3 linked regions of the Macaca fascicularis genome follow. The protein of the gene in region 1 binds, or shares a complex with, the protein of each later gene. Links are inferred from orthologs where the notes say so. Each region holds a gene or a part of one and is shown in the gene's direction. Other genes may lie near its edges. The genes, in order: YWHAE, MLF1 and GATAD1.

The links.
Region 2: the proteins of YWHAE (region 1) and MLF1 are in contact, whole or in part, in a crystal structure (PDB 3UBW), measured with the Homo sapiens proteins. The link is inferred for Macaca fascicularis from reciprocal best matches to the Homo sapiens genes YWHAE and MLF1. Residues at the interface, in NP_006752.1 of Homo sapiens: Lys50, Asn51, Arg57, Arg61, Lys123, Arg130, Tyr131, Glu134, Pro168, Gly172, Leu175, Asn176, Val179, Tyr182, Glu183, Leu219, Ile220, Leu223, Asp226, Asn227, Leu230, Trp231; in NP_071888.1 of Homo sapiens: Arg31, Ser32, Phe33, Ser34, Glu35, Pro36, Phe37.
Region 3: the proteins of YWHAE (region 1) and GATAD1 are in contact, whole or in part, in a crystal structure (PDB 8Q1S), measured with the Homo sapiens proteins. The link is inferred for Macaca fascicularis from reciprocal best matches to the Homo sapiens genes YWHAE and GATAD1. Residues at the interface, in NP_006752.1 of Homo sapiens: Asn43, Ser46, Val47, Lys50, Arg57, Arg61, Lys123, Arg130, Tyr131, Gly172, Leu175, Asn176, Val179, Tyr182, Glu183, Lys215, Asp216, Leu219, Ile220, Leu223, Asn227, Leu230, Trp231; in NP_066990.3 of Homo sapiens: Thr98, Lys99, Tyr100, Lys101, Ser102, Ala103, Pro104, Ala105, Ala106, Glu107.

The regions. Positions count from the first base shown.
Region 1 is NC_088390.1:1,505,411-1,509,159, reverse strand, and holds the start of YWHAE (14-3-3 protein epsilon), read left to right. Parts: upstream 1-867; 5' UTR 868-979; coding exon 980-1,043; intron 1,044-3,749. UniProt on the Homo sapiens protein: Adapter protein implicated in the regulation of a large spectrum of both general and specialized signaling pathways. Binds to a large number of partners, usually by recognition of a phosphoserine or phosphothreonine motif.
Region 2 is NC_088376.1:61,538,572-61,542,058, forward strand, and holds the end of MLF1 (myeloid leukemia factor 1), read left to right. Parts: intron 1-48; coding exon 49-181; intron 182-2,334; coding exon 2,335-2,440; 3' UTR 2,441-2,961; downstream 2,962-3,487. UniProt on the Homo sapiens protein: Involved in lineage commitment of primary hemopoietic progenitors by restricting erythroid formation and enhancing myeloid formation.
Region 3 is NC_088377.1:128,910,356-128,914,104, reverse strand, and holds the start of GATAD1 (GATA zinc finger domain-containing protein 1), read left to right. Parts: upstream 1-1,321; 5' UTR 1,322-1,598; coding exon 1,599-1,853; intron 1,854-2,618; coding exon 2,619-2,744; intron 2,745-2,965; exon of another isoform or gene 2,966-3,749. UniProt on the Homo sapiens protein: Component of some chromatin complex recruited to chromatin sites methylated 'Lys-4' of histone H3 (H3K4me), with a preference for trimethylated form (H3K4me3).

The DNA.
Region 1 (3,749 bases):
GGTTTCACTATGTTGGCCAGGCTGGTCTCGAACTCCTGACCTTGTGATCCGCCCGCCTTGGCCTCCCAAGGTGCTGGGGTTACAGGTGTGAGCCACTGCGCCCGGCCAGGGCCCAGTTCGTTACCCTGAGTGTAAAAGTGTCTGAAATGGGCCCATGACCAGGAGTGGCGGAGAAACCCAGGACGCGGGCCGGGCGCGGTGGCTCACTCCTGTAATCCCAGCGCTTTGGGAGGCCGAGGTGGGCGGATCACCTTGAAGTCGGGAGTTCGAGACCAGCCTGACCAACATGGTGAAACCCCGTCTCTATTAAACATACAAAAGGTAGCTGGGCTTGGTGGCGGGCGCCTGAAATCCCAGCTACTCGGGAGGCTGAGGCAGGAGAATCACTTGAACCCGGGAGGCAGACGTTGTGTTGAGCCGAGATCGCACCACTGCACTCCAGCCTGGGGAACAAGAGCGAAACTCCGTCTCAAAAAAAAAACAAAAACACAAAAGGAAACCAGGACACGGTAGTGACAGCCGCTGCTTTCGGGGAGGAAGACCTGCCATGACAGAAACCGTTAGCGCCTCAGTCGTTCTCTTCCGCAGGTCGGGCCTCGGGCCCAGGTTTCCCGCCGGCTTTTTTCAGGAGCAGTCCCGGCCGGCCCCGCCTCAGCCCTTCCCGTTCCCCGGGGGCCGCTCCCTCTCAGCAGTCGCAGTTCCCGCCTCTGGGCTCCGGCGCCCGCTGAGCCGACGGAGGAGGGGCGTCTCCTGCGCTGGTTCCAGCCTCTTCGGGCGCCGAGTTCCAGGACCCGCCCCCCGCGCCAGTTGCCAGGGAGCGGTTGCCATAGAGCTGAGCAGTTGTCCGCGTGCGCAGGCGGAAGTCCCGGATTGAGGCGCCGCCATTTTTGCTGCCCGGACGCGGAGCGAGAGGCTGAGAGAGTCGGAGACACTATCCGCTTCCATCCGTCGCGCAGACCCTGCCGGAGCCGCTGCCGCTATGGATGATCGAGAGGATCTGGTGTACCAGGCGAAGCTGGCCGAGCAGGCTGAGCGATACGACGGTGAGTTGGGGGGGCAGCGGGGGGCTGGAATTCTCGTTCCCTCTGCCGCCGCCCACAGAGGCCGGGAACAGGAGACAAAATGGCGGCATCGTCTGCGAGCCTGGCCCGGGGGCTTGGGTTCGGGAAGCAGGAAATGGCCTGGGAGCTCCCGGGGCAATGGGAGGCTGTATGCCTTGGAATGTGACCCCTTCGCCGTCCTTAACTGCAAACAACTCGCGGGCCGGGAGGCCGGGGAGACGGGGTGGAGGAGTTGGTTGTAAAATGGCGGCTGGGGGGAGGGCGAGTCTCGGGGCGGGGGAGGGGGAGGAGATGGCGGGTGCTGTCTCCGAACGAGCAGCCCTCAGGGGAGCTTCTGGGACGGTCTTGGGATGTGGAGAACAATTGGGTGCGGTGACGGGGGAAGCAGCACCCGCCACATGGGAGAGAGCGGAGACCGGGAGCTGTAGCGCGGGCGCCTTTCAGGGAAATATGGCGGGTGGGGGCGGTGGCTTTTCCCCGGAGGCCCCGTGTGGGGCGGCGGCCGTGGAGTCTCACAAAGGAGAAGCCTTCAGAGCGATGGGCTTCCTCAGGCCTGAGGCGGGGGACAGTCCCGGGTGATGGTGGGGGGAGAGGGGTGAGCGGGAATCACTGCGGTTCGTCTGGGGCGGTGGCAGGCGCCGACGCTGCGATCGGGTTTCTCTCCCGTGGGCCGGCACCTCGTAGTGAGGGGGTTTGGGGCTTTTCCTCCTCGCCGCCTGCTGGGGAGGCCCAGAAAACCCTCACTCCCTCCCCTTTCCTCAGACTTAAAACGGGAGACCTCGAAGTTCCTGTAACCTTTCTCTGACTGCATCACCAGTGGGTTCTGATGGATAGAAGCAGGAGACCAGGAGGCCACGACTCTGAGAGTTCGAGCCTTTGTAGGGCCCGAGCCTCAGTCCACCCGTTTGTAAAAACGATGACTTTACAGTTTGTGCGCACCATCATGACACATGGAAAGACCTGTTGAAATAAAGTTATTTCCAATAGTGTTCAGTCACTGTATTTTGGTTGACTCTGCAGGCTCGGGATGCTGGTCTGTACTTCGTGGGGGAGCTTAACCTATTCCAGGCACTCGGCTGAGGCTGGGGTTTTTGAGTTATGAAGGTTGGAGATCCTGTTGCTTTCTTTTTTTCCATTTCAAATAAATGGGTTTATGTAGAAATTTTAGTAGTTCCTCTTTGTTCGTTGTTCCTTTGCCCATAACGGGTTCTCCAGTCCTTTTTCATAACTTTATCGAAATATCCATTGTGTCTGTCTAGTCATTGTCAGGAAGTTTATTCTTAGTCCTCCCTCCCAGTCCACCTTTTGAAATACCCTCACATTTATAATTGTGCGATACTGTAGTATTAAAGGAAAAGTCATGTATGTGGGTCCTGTGGTTTTAATGCTTTTGTGTGGTAGGGTGGGATGAGACATGGTTGGAATCAAGTATCTTTGATCCTTAGATTTTTCCTGATTAAGCTACCTGTATTTCAAAATGTTGTGTAGGGCCGTTGCTTTCCTGGAAATGCAGATTTAGTCATGTGAATAACCTCAGGGCTACTCCCCCTTATCAGAAACGAGGATTCAGGGATTTGAAAATAAGACAAGGCCTCTAGAAGTCAAATTTGGAATAATACTAAACTAAATTTCGTCTTGTAAATTGTTAAATTGCTATTTGTATTGAACAAGATTCCTGTTGGGAGAGGGAGGGGAATTAGGTGGGGAAGTGCAGCTCAAGGTCAGCTTTGTCTTTATTTCAGTGTTTAAAAATCAAACAGATAAAGATGTGCTTGTATTGGAAGTCTCCTCCTCCGCTCCTCATCTCCAGATGTTCCCCTCTTCATCTATTAGTGTTCTTGGGAGGAAACAAATTATACTTGAATGCTTTCTGTTTTGTGGGCATTGGAGCTCTGAGTAAACTTGCTGTGATAACTAGAAAGGATGTGAGAGAAGGTCTTTTTTTTGAAAGCTCCTTTAAAAAACCGATTTGAAAGCTTATGATTGTAGTTTCCAATTAAATGACAGGTTAGTGATAATTATATTTTTGATGTGAGTGGTGAAGATTTCTGACCAGAGCCCTTACTGGTTATTGAACATAGGACTCTGATAAAGCCACATCCTTACAGTTGTTAATGTTAGGTGTCCCCTTCAGGATCTAAAGGGGTAAGGAAATAGAATCTGCAAGGTGAGGAGCTATTCCTGTGACTTGGGGCATATGGTAGGGATTCAGTAGAAAGGAGAGGAGGAGAAGGAGACAGACACCAGGAATTTCTACCTGTGTCCTCTGCCTGTGTCCATTCCTTTATTGAGTGCAATATTTTTTTGTTTCTGGGACGAAGTGTTGCCGGAGTCCTGGTCACCAAACAGAATTTAGCAGGTGTCGGTGGTGGAAGAAGGTAAGACAGTATATTAGCAGGATTTCTTTGTTGGATACTTGTACCCAAATGCTGGTTTTCCAGCTGCTCTTTTATCTTTCTGTTAACTGCAGTAGGCCTATTTTATTTTGCTTGCTGTGTTGAATTAATGCCTAAACTTACATGTACCCTCATTTAATTCTATCCTGGGGCGTTGGAATCAATTTATATGGATTATTTAATGGTACGGGAGGAAGAGCTAAGCTGTATTCAGGAAAAGGACACTTTAATGTCACAGGAAATATTTAAGTTTGGGGCCAGGAGGTGAGGATTAAATCTAGCATCTCATCAC
Region 2 (3,487 bases), on another chromosome or scaffold:
CAGTTGATACCTTAATACTTATTCCCATTATTTTTCTATTTAACATAGATGATGCTCATGCTTTTGATGAGGAATGGCAAAGTGAGGTTTTGAAGTACAAACCAGGACGACACAATCTAGAAAACACTAGAATGAGAAGTGTTGGTCATGAGAATCCTGGCTCCCAAGAACTTAAAAGAAGGTAAAAGTTGTTTCTAAAATAGTTTGGTTTTTAAAGAAGAATTTGAAGTAAAGTTACATAATTTTATTTCTGTTATCAGAAAGTTTTGATGATCATCCAAGTTGTATCCACAGTATCTTTTGTGAAAGATGTTATAATTTTATACTAAAACTGAGTATTCCGCACAAATTTAAATTTATATCTAAAAATCAATAATAGTTTAGGATTGTATGGTTAGTAATTCACTAGTAAATTATGCCTCAGAAGACAGAGACCAAAATCCTCTTCAGGAAAACTGATTTGCTACGGAGTAGTTATTCTTGTAAAACAGATTCTAATATGGTTATAGAGTTATACATTTCACACTGGTAAAGATACCTAGAGATATGTTAAGGGGAGAGGGGCTGTATTTGGAAGACTTAACAACTTCCTTAACAAATCACAATTTATCATGTAATCGTAAATGAAATTTCAGACACGGGTACAATATGTAACAGTACATGCAATACCATATTTGATGTGTTTTAGGTGTTTTGGAAGAATTTTGCAAGAACATTAGCTTATTTTACAATTCCCTTTTAGTATAGCTGAGAAAAATAAATTTGCTGAAACCACATATTAAGGATTATAGAGATTTCTGGCTGGGCATGGTGACTCATGCCTGTAATCCCAGCACTTCGGGAGGCCGAGGCAGGTGGATCACTTGAGGTCAGGAGTTTGACACCAGCCTGGCCAACATGGTGAAACCCCGTCTCTACTAAAAATACGAATTAGCTAGGTATGGTAGCATACACCTATAATCCCAGCTACTTGGGAGGCTAAGGCAAGAGAATCGCTTGAACCCAGGAGGCGGAGGTTGTGGTGAGCCAAAATCACACCGGTGCACTACAGCCTGAGTGACAGACTGAGACTCTATCTCAAAAATGAATAAATAAATATTATAGAGATTTTAAAATACATTTTGTACATACCCTGGAGCTACAGTTTAATGTGGTTCTCTGCGGGGGGGGAAGTGAATAATAATATCTATTTCCTATGAAGTTACACTAAAGAGAAAGGCCTCACCAGACCTTAAATAGAAATCTGTTCTAAGCTATAAGAGAGTGGAGAATTGCTGCAGAAGGTAGAAGGCTTCACAGAACTAGCGGTGGACAAGTGAGTATCAAGTAAATCAGAAGCCTTATGGAGAATTTCATATGCTAGGATCTTTTCTTCTAAAACACTTGTTTAGGAATTTAGAGACCTGGTATTTTCTATTGAATTGCTTGAAAACTTGCTCCTATATTAATTACAGATATTTTTCTCATTTGAAAAATGTACTGATTAAAAACCTAGCAGTGCCAAGTTTGAATAGGAAATCCAGGTCCCACTTAGAGAAGGCATACTCTTTATGGATGACCTATAAATTTCTGGCCCTAACAGTGGCATTTTCTCTTAACCAGCACTGTCCAATGGCATTTCCTGAAATGACTTCGGTAATGAGAAAAATGCTATATATCTATTCTGTCCTGTGTAGTAATTACTAGCCACATGTGGCTGTTGATTCACATTTGAACCATTGCTGGTAAAACTGAAGTATTAAATTATTTTAGTTTAATTCAAATATAAATGTGGTTAGTGGCTACCATACCGTTAACATTAAACAGTGTTTAAACTATAAACAGTTAAATCTATCTCAGGAAAACAGCTGTTGCTGTTTTAAATTCACTGAAATAGTCTGCCTTGTTTTTCCCGTTTGTTTGTTTGTTTTTGTTTTTTTGGAGGGGGAGACAGTCTGGCTCTGTCACCAGGCTGGAGTGCAGTGGCGCAATCTCGACTCACTGCAACCTCCACCTCCCAGGGTCAGGCAGTCCTCCTGCTTCAGCCTCCTGAGTAGCTGGGACTATAGGTGCACATCACCACGCCCAGCTAATTTTTTGTACAGATGGGGTTTCACCATGTTCGCCAGAATGGTCTCAATCTCTTGACCTCGTGATCTGCCCACCTCGACCTCACAGAGTGCTGGGATTACAGGCGTAAGCCACCACACCTGGCCAGCCTTGTTTTTCAAAGCTATTAAGGAACTTTTAAGATAAAAGTTTTCTTATGTTACAGTGGTTTTTAACATGTTTATTGATTTATAAACCATTGGCCATTTTATAAATCATATTAATATTCACATGTATATTTCTCAGGGAGAAACCTCAACAAAGTCCAGCCATTGAACGTGGAAGAAGATCAAATGTTTTGGGGGATAAACTCCACATCAAAGGCTCATCTGTGAAAAGCAACAAAAAATAAATAGCCATGCATTTGATTTGCTTAGTTTTGGTTGTTTTAACAGTTAGTAATGGTGCTGGGTAATAAGCATAAGACCAATCTCTTGCTGTTAAATCAGTTCTGTCCTTGGCAACTTTCTTCTGATACCTGAATGTTCATGAAGGTCCTAGCTTTATATTGTCCCTCTTTTAGGAATAAAATTTTGATTTTCAACAATGTGAGTAAATTGTGAAACAGTCTATTTAATATAAAACTCTTTAAAACATACTGATTTTTTAAAGCTTATATGCTGATTTTGCTTCCCCAGTTGTTTTTGTGTTGGCTAGGTATTCTTTTATATTTATCAAGATTGATTGCAGAGCAGTTCTGTCACTTATAATTAGTTATAAGACATTATAATGTTAAAAATTTCTCAGTTTTTACTAACACTGTACTCGGGTGATATTAATAAAGGTTTAAATAATTTATCTCTAATTTTATAATGTGTTGTACAGCCAGCTAGATTAAAACTTTAAAAATAATAAAGCAAAACTACACTGGTACTCTTTTATGAGAAAATAGTTATTATTTTGATAAAGGACAAGAATAATCAAATAGTTCATTTTCGGAGAAAAATATTTTAAATTGCTAATGTACATGATTGTTTTGGTTATAATTTCTTTATAGAATGTATCTTTTCTATATTACATTCTTAATATTCATCAGATATCATATTGACCATTCTCTTTAACTTCTTAATGTGGCATATTTCTGCTCTCCTTTCCCACAGACAGCTTCATCTATCTCCAAGACTAACATTCTAAAGCTGGAGAGTCCTTGGAGAAAACTCTGCTCAGCTTTTTTGGGACATTTAGAAAAATACATTTAGTATTCTCCAAACCAGAATGATACATTGTCTCAGAATTTGTTAGACAGCTGATGGGTGGTTTTGAGCAACATCTTAATAATTCAGTTGTTTCTGTTTTAATTGTACCATTAAAAATCAGCTTTAGCATTTTTATTCTAGAATTTAAACATTAATCTGTTTTTATAAAAGTTAGGTTTAAAGTTTATAAGAATATAAAATCT
Region 3 (3,749 bases), on another chromosome or scaffold:
TTGGTGCCAACGGCAGCAGCTATAATGACAGCCAGTTCACACAGAAGTGCCTCTGTTGATCACCAATTAACAGTAAAATCTGATAATATCTCATTCCAAGGTTGTCATAAGCACTAAATGTGGTTTTGTGACATAATAGGCATTTGTTTCTCCCCATTGCTTCCCACCACAATATATTCATCAAGACTTTTCCAAGGATACTAAGTCTAGGAAACCCAGGATCATGAAGAGAGGACATGCTCTTCCAAATGAGGCTGAGGAGAGACTTGTCTGGCGAGGCCTGTACTGACTAGTGACATTAGAAGAGGCGATCTGACTTCTCATACTGCGCTTGTCCCAGGCCCGCTGTTTGTCAACTGCTGGGTCCTCAGAGCCAAAACTGTTTTCCAACAGTTTTGAATTGAATAACAGCCAGTTATTCAATTTTCTCCACATTCTCTAATCGGTATACTCTTCAGAGTCCAAGGGACTTGCAACGATATTACCCAATGGCTGAAGAATGTGCGCTTGACATCTTAGGCTGTAAAATGTCTCAATTTCAATTTCTAAAACATAAATGTCAGTGGATGGCATTTTCTGAATCCCTTGTCGATGTCCGTAAATGGCATGCTCTGAATTCAACTAAACAAAAGTATGGGTTGGGGGGAGATGTAGGGGCATGTCCAAATTATAATTTTTAAGAGTGTAAAGGGGTCCTGAGAAAGATTGCCAGATTTTTTTTTTTTTCTTGAGTCAGAGTCTCACTCTATCCCCCAGGCTGAAGTGCAATGGCATGATCTTGGCTCACTGCAGGCTCTACCTCCCGCACTCAAGAGATTCTTCTGCCGCAGCCTCCAGAGTAGCTGGGATTACCCCGGAGCCCGCCACTACTGAGCCTGGCTAACTTTTGTATTTTTAGTAGAGAAGGGGTTTCACCATGTTGGCCAGGCTGATTTCGAACTCCTGAGCTCAAGTAATCCGCCAGCCTTGGTCTCCCAAAGTGCTGGGATTGCAAGCGTGAGCCACCACGCCAGACCTGGATTGCCAGATTTAGCACATAAAAATACAGGACTCCCAGTTAAACTCCTCTCAGATAAACCATTATTGCATGAAATTCACTCACGCTAAAAACAATTGTTCGTCGTTTACCTGAAAGTCACATTTCATTGGTCCTGCATTTTACCCCGCAAATTCTAGGCCTGACACCAAAAAGTTTGAGAACCGCGCCCCTAGGCGACAGCAAGCGGAACTACCGCAAGCTCCCAGTAATTCCGGGTGCTGCACTTCCGGTCAGGCGGTCGGGCTGCGCGGCCCTGGGGCCAGCTCACCGCCGGAAGCCTCCGCGTCCCCGCCGGCCATATCCCGTTCCCGGTCCTGCTTCCCAGTGCCTCGGGCCTCCCGGGGCTGGTGCTGGGCGCCGAGCCGGCGGAACCGGCGGAACCCGCTTCCCGCCTCCACGCGGCAGCGCTAGCGGCCTAGTCCCTTCACGGGCAGCTCGGTGCTGTCGCCCTCACTGCTCTTCCTATCGCCGGGAGTGGTGGGCCGACCAGGGGGCGGCCGGGCTAGCGTCCGCCATTCCCGTGTCTCTGCGCCCGCGGGGGCCGCCCGAGCCGGCCACCATGCCGCTGGGCCTGAAGCCCACCTGCAGCGTATGCAAGACCACGTCGTCCTCCATGTGGAAGAAGGGCACGCAGGGGGAGATCCTCTGCCATCATTGCACTGGCCGGGGCGGCGCGGGCAGCGGGGGCGCAGGCTCGGGGGCGGCTGGAGGGACTGGGGGCAGCAGCGGCGGTGGCGGCGGCTTCGGCGCGGCGACCTTCGCCAGCACCTCCGCCACTCCTCCGCAGAGCAACGGGGGCGGGGGCGGCAAGCAGGTGAGCTCCTCCGGCCCCTCCCGCCGGCGGAGGCCGACCGGGCGCTAGGCGGCAGGGGCCGGGCGGGTTGGGAGCGGGCGGGCCCGGGCTTCCCGGCTCGCCGTGGTCCTGCCGGCTGGAACGCCCCTCCCCACCTCCTACTGAGATCTTTGGTTTGACCCATTCCAAAGCACCTGTTATAAGAAATTCAAAGCAATAAGAACCAAAATGTAAAGCCCTTAAGAAAATCTCAATATGCACACGTCTACACAGTCGTAAACAGGGTCATGCCACAAGTGCAGGTGCTGGACCTCATTGCTTGTTAAAGGTTTTGTCATATCAGGTTATGAAGTAAGATTATTATGTCATTATTGTAAATGGCAGCTTAAGTATTCAGTTGTAGGAGGCGCCATAACCTAATACGTTATCTGGCCTTAGGGAGTAAAGTTGTTAAGTGTTTTTCTCTATTGTAGACACAACAAATGAATAGTGTTTGTCTTGGCCCAGACTGACTCTTACTTCCGCCTCCTGACTTATTACAAGCAGCTCACACCTTTTGGAGGCTCTGGAGACGCCTATCCAGCGAGCTCCGAGATTCCGGTGCTGAACTTCCGGTTTTACTTAGCCCAGTTGCTGAAATTACCTCTGTTGAAAAGCAAAGGCGCACTCTTAATTGTTAAATACTCCTATAAAGTACATACTCTGGGATCCTTGTAAGATGATTGTATTGCAACCTGTATACACTTTTTACTTCTTTCTCTGTTCTTTAATTTGTTTGTGTAACAGAGTAAGCAGGAAATTCACAGGAGGTCTGCTCGGCTCAGAAACACTAAATACAAATCTGCTCCGGCTGCTGAGAAGAAAGTTTCCACCAAAGGAAAAGGGAGAAGACATATATTTAAATTGAAAAATGTAAGATATTTGTGGACAGTGCCTTTTACTGTAATGATGTTGTGTGTATCCTGCCACTGCCTTCATTTCCCGCCATTGAACTTGGACTCTGCCCTTGGTAGCCCTTCCTTAGTATTCTGGGGAGTGGTCCAGACTCCCCAAAAGGGAATGAGCTCTGTTGCAGGAGGCTCACTATTTTTAAAGGTAATAATACTCTTTCCTTTTTTTTTTTTTTTTTTTAGCTTTTATTTTTTTCCCCTGGAAAATATAAAATATGAGTTTAAAAGAAACATCAGCCTTGAGCCCATTTTTTGGGGTTCTCTATGGAAAGGAAGAGGAGAGATTATGGTTCTTGATATGGCCAGGTACACTAAGAAAACTTTTTTTTCATTCTTTAAAAATTAAGTAAATATTAACACTAGAACTCATCATTTGCATATTTATTTATTATTAAAGCCCCAGAAAATGTATCTTATTGACTTATGATGATGATGTATTTGATGAATATGAGTCAAAAATTCTGCTAAGCCTTCTCTCTTCTACTCTAAGAAAAGACATTGTTGAAAGACCTGTGCTGGAAATAATTGAAAGCATATTTTTATTGCAATTAAATTATCAGTTTTTATAAACAAGGGATAATGTTCAAACACAATGGACAGTGCATTATGGACTATTTTTTTAAGTCTCAGTATGGTATTCTTTTCTTTCAGAACAGGAATGTTTCACTTACCCGTAAAGACATTTTTGAAGTCGGGCATATTTATTTCTAAAACACAAAGGGACCCTGCAGTAGACTTATGCAGATGGCAGACTATTTTCTTTTTTTTTTTTTAATGTAATTTAATTTAATTAATTTTTTAAAATTTTACTTTAAATTCTGGGATACATGTGCAGAACGTGCAGGTTTGTTACATAGGTATACATGTGCCATGGTGATTTGCTGCACCTGTCAACCCATCATCTAGGTTTTAAGGCCCATGTGCATTAGATATTTGTCCTAATGCTCTCCCTCCCCTTGCCCCCCAT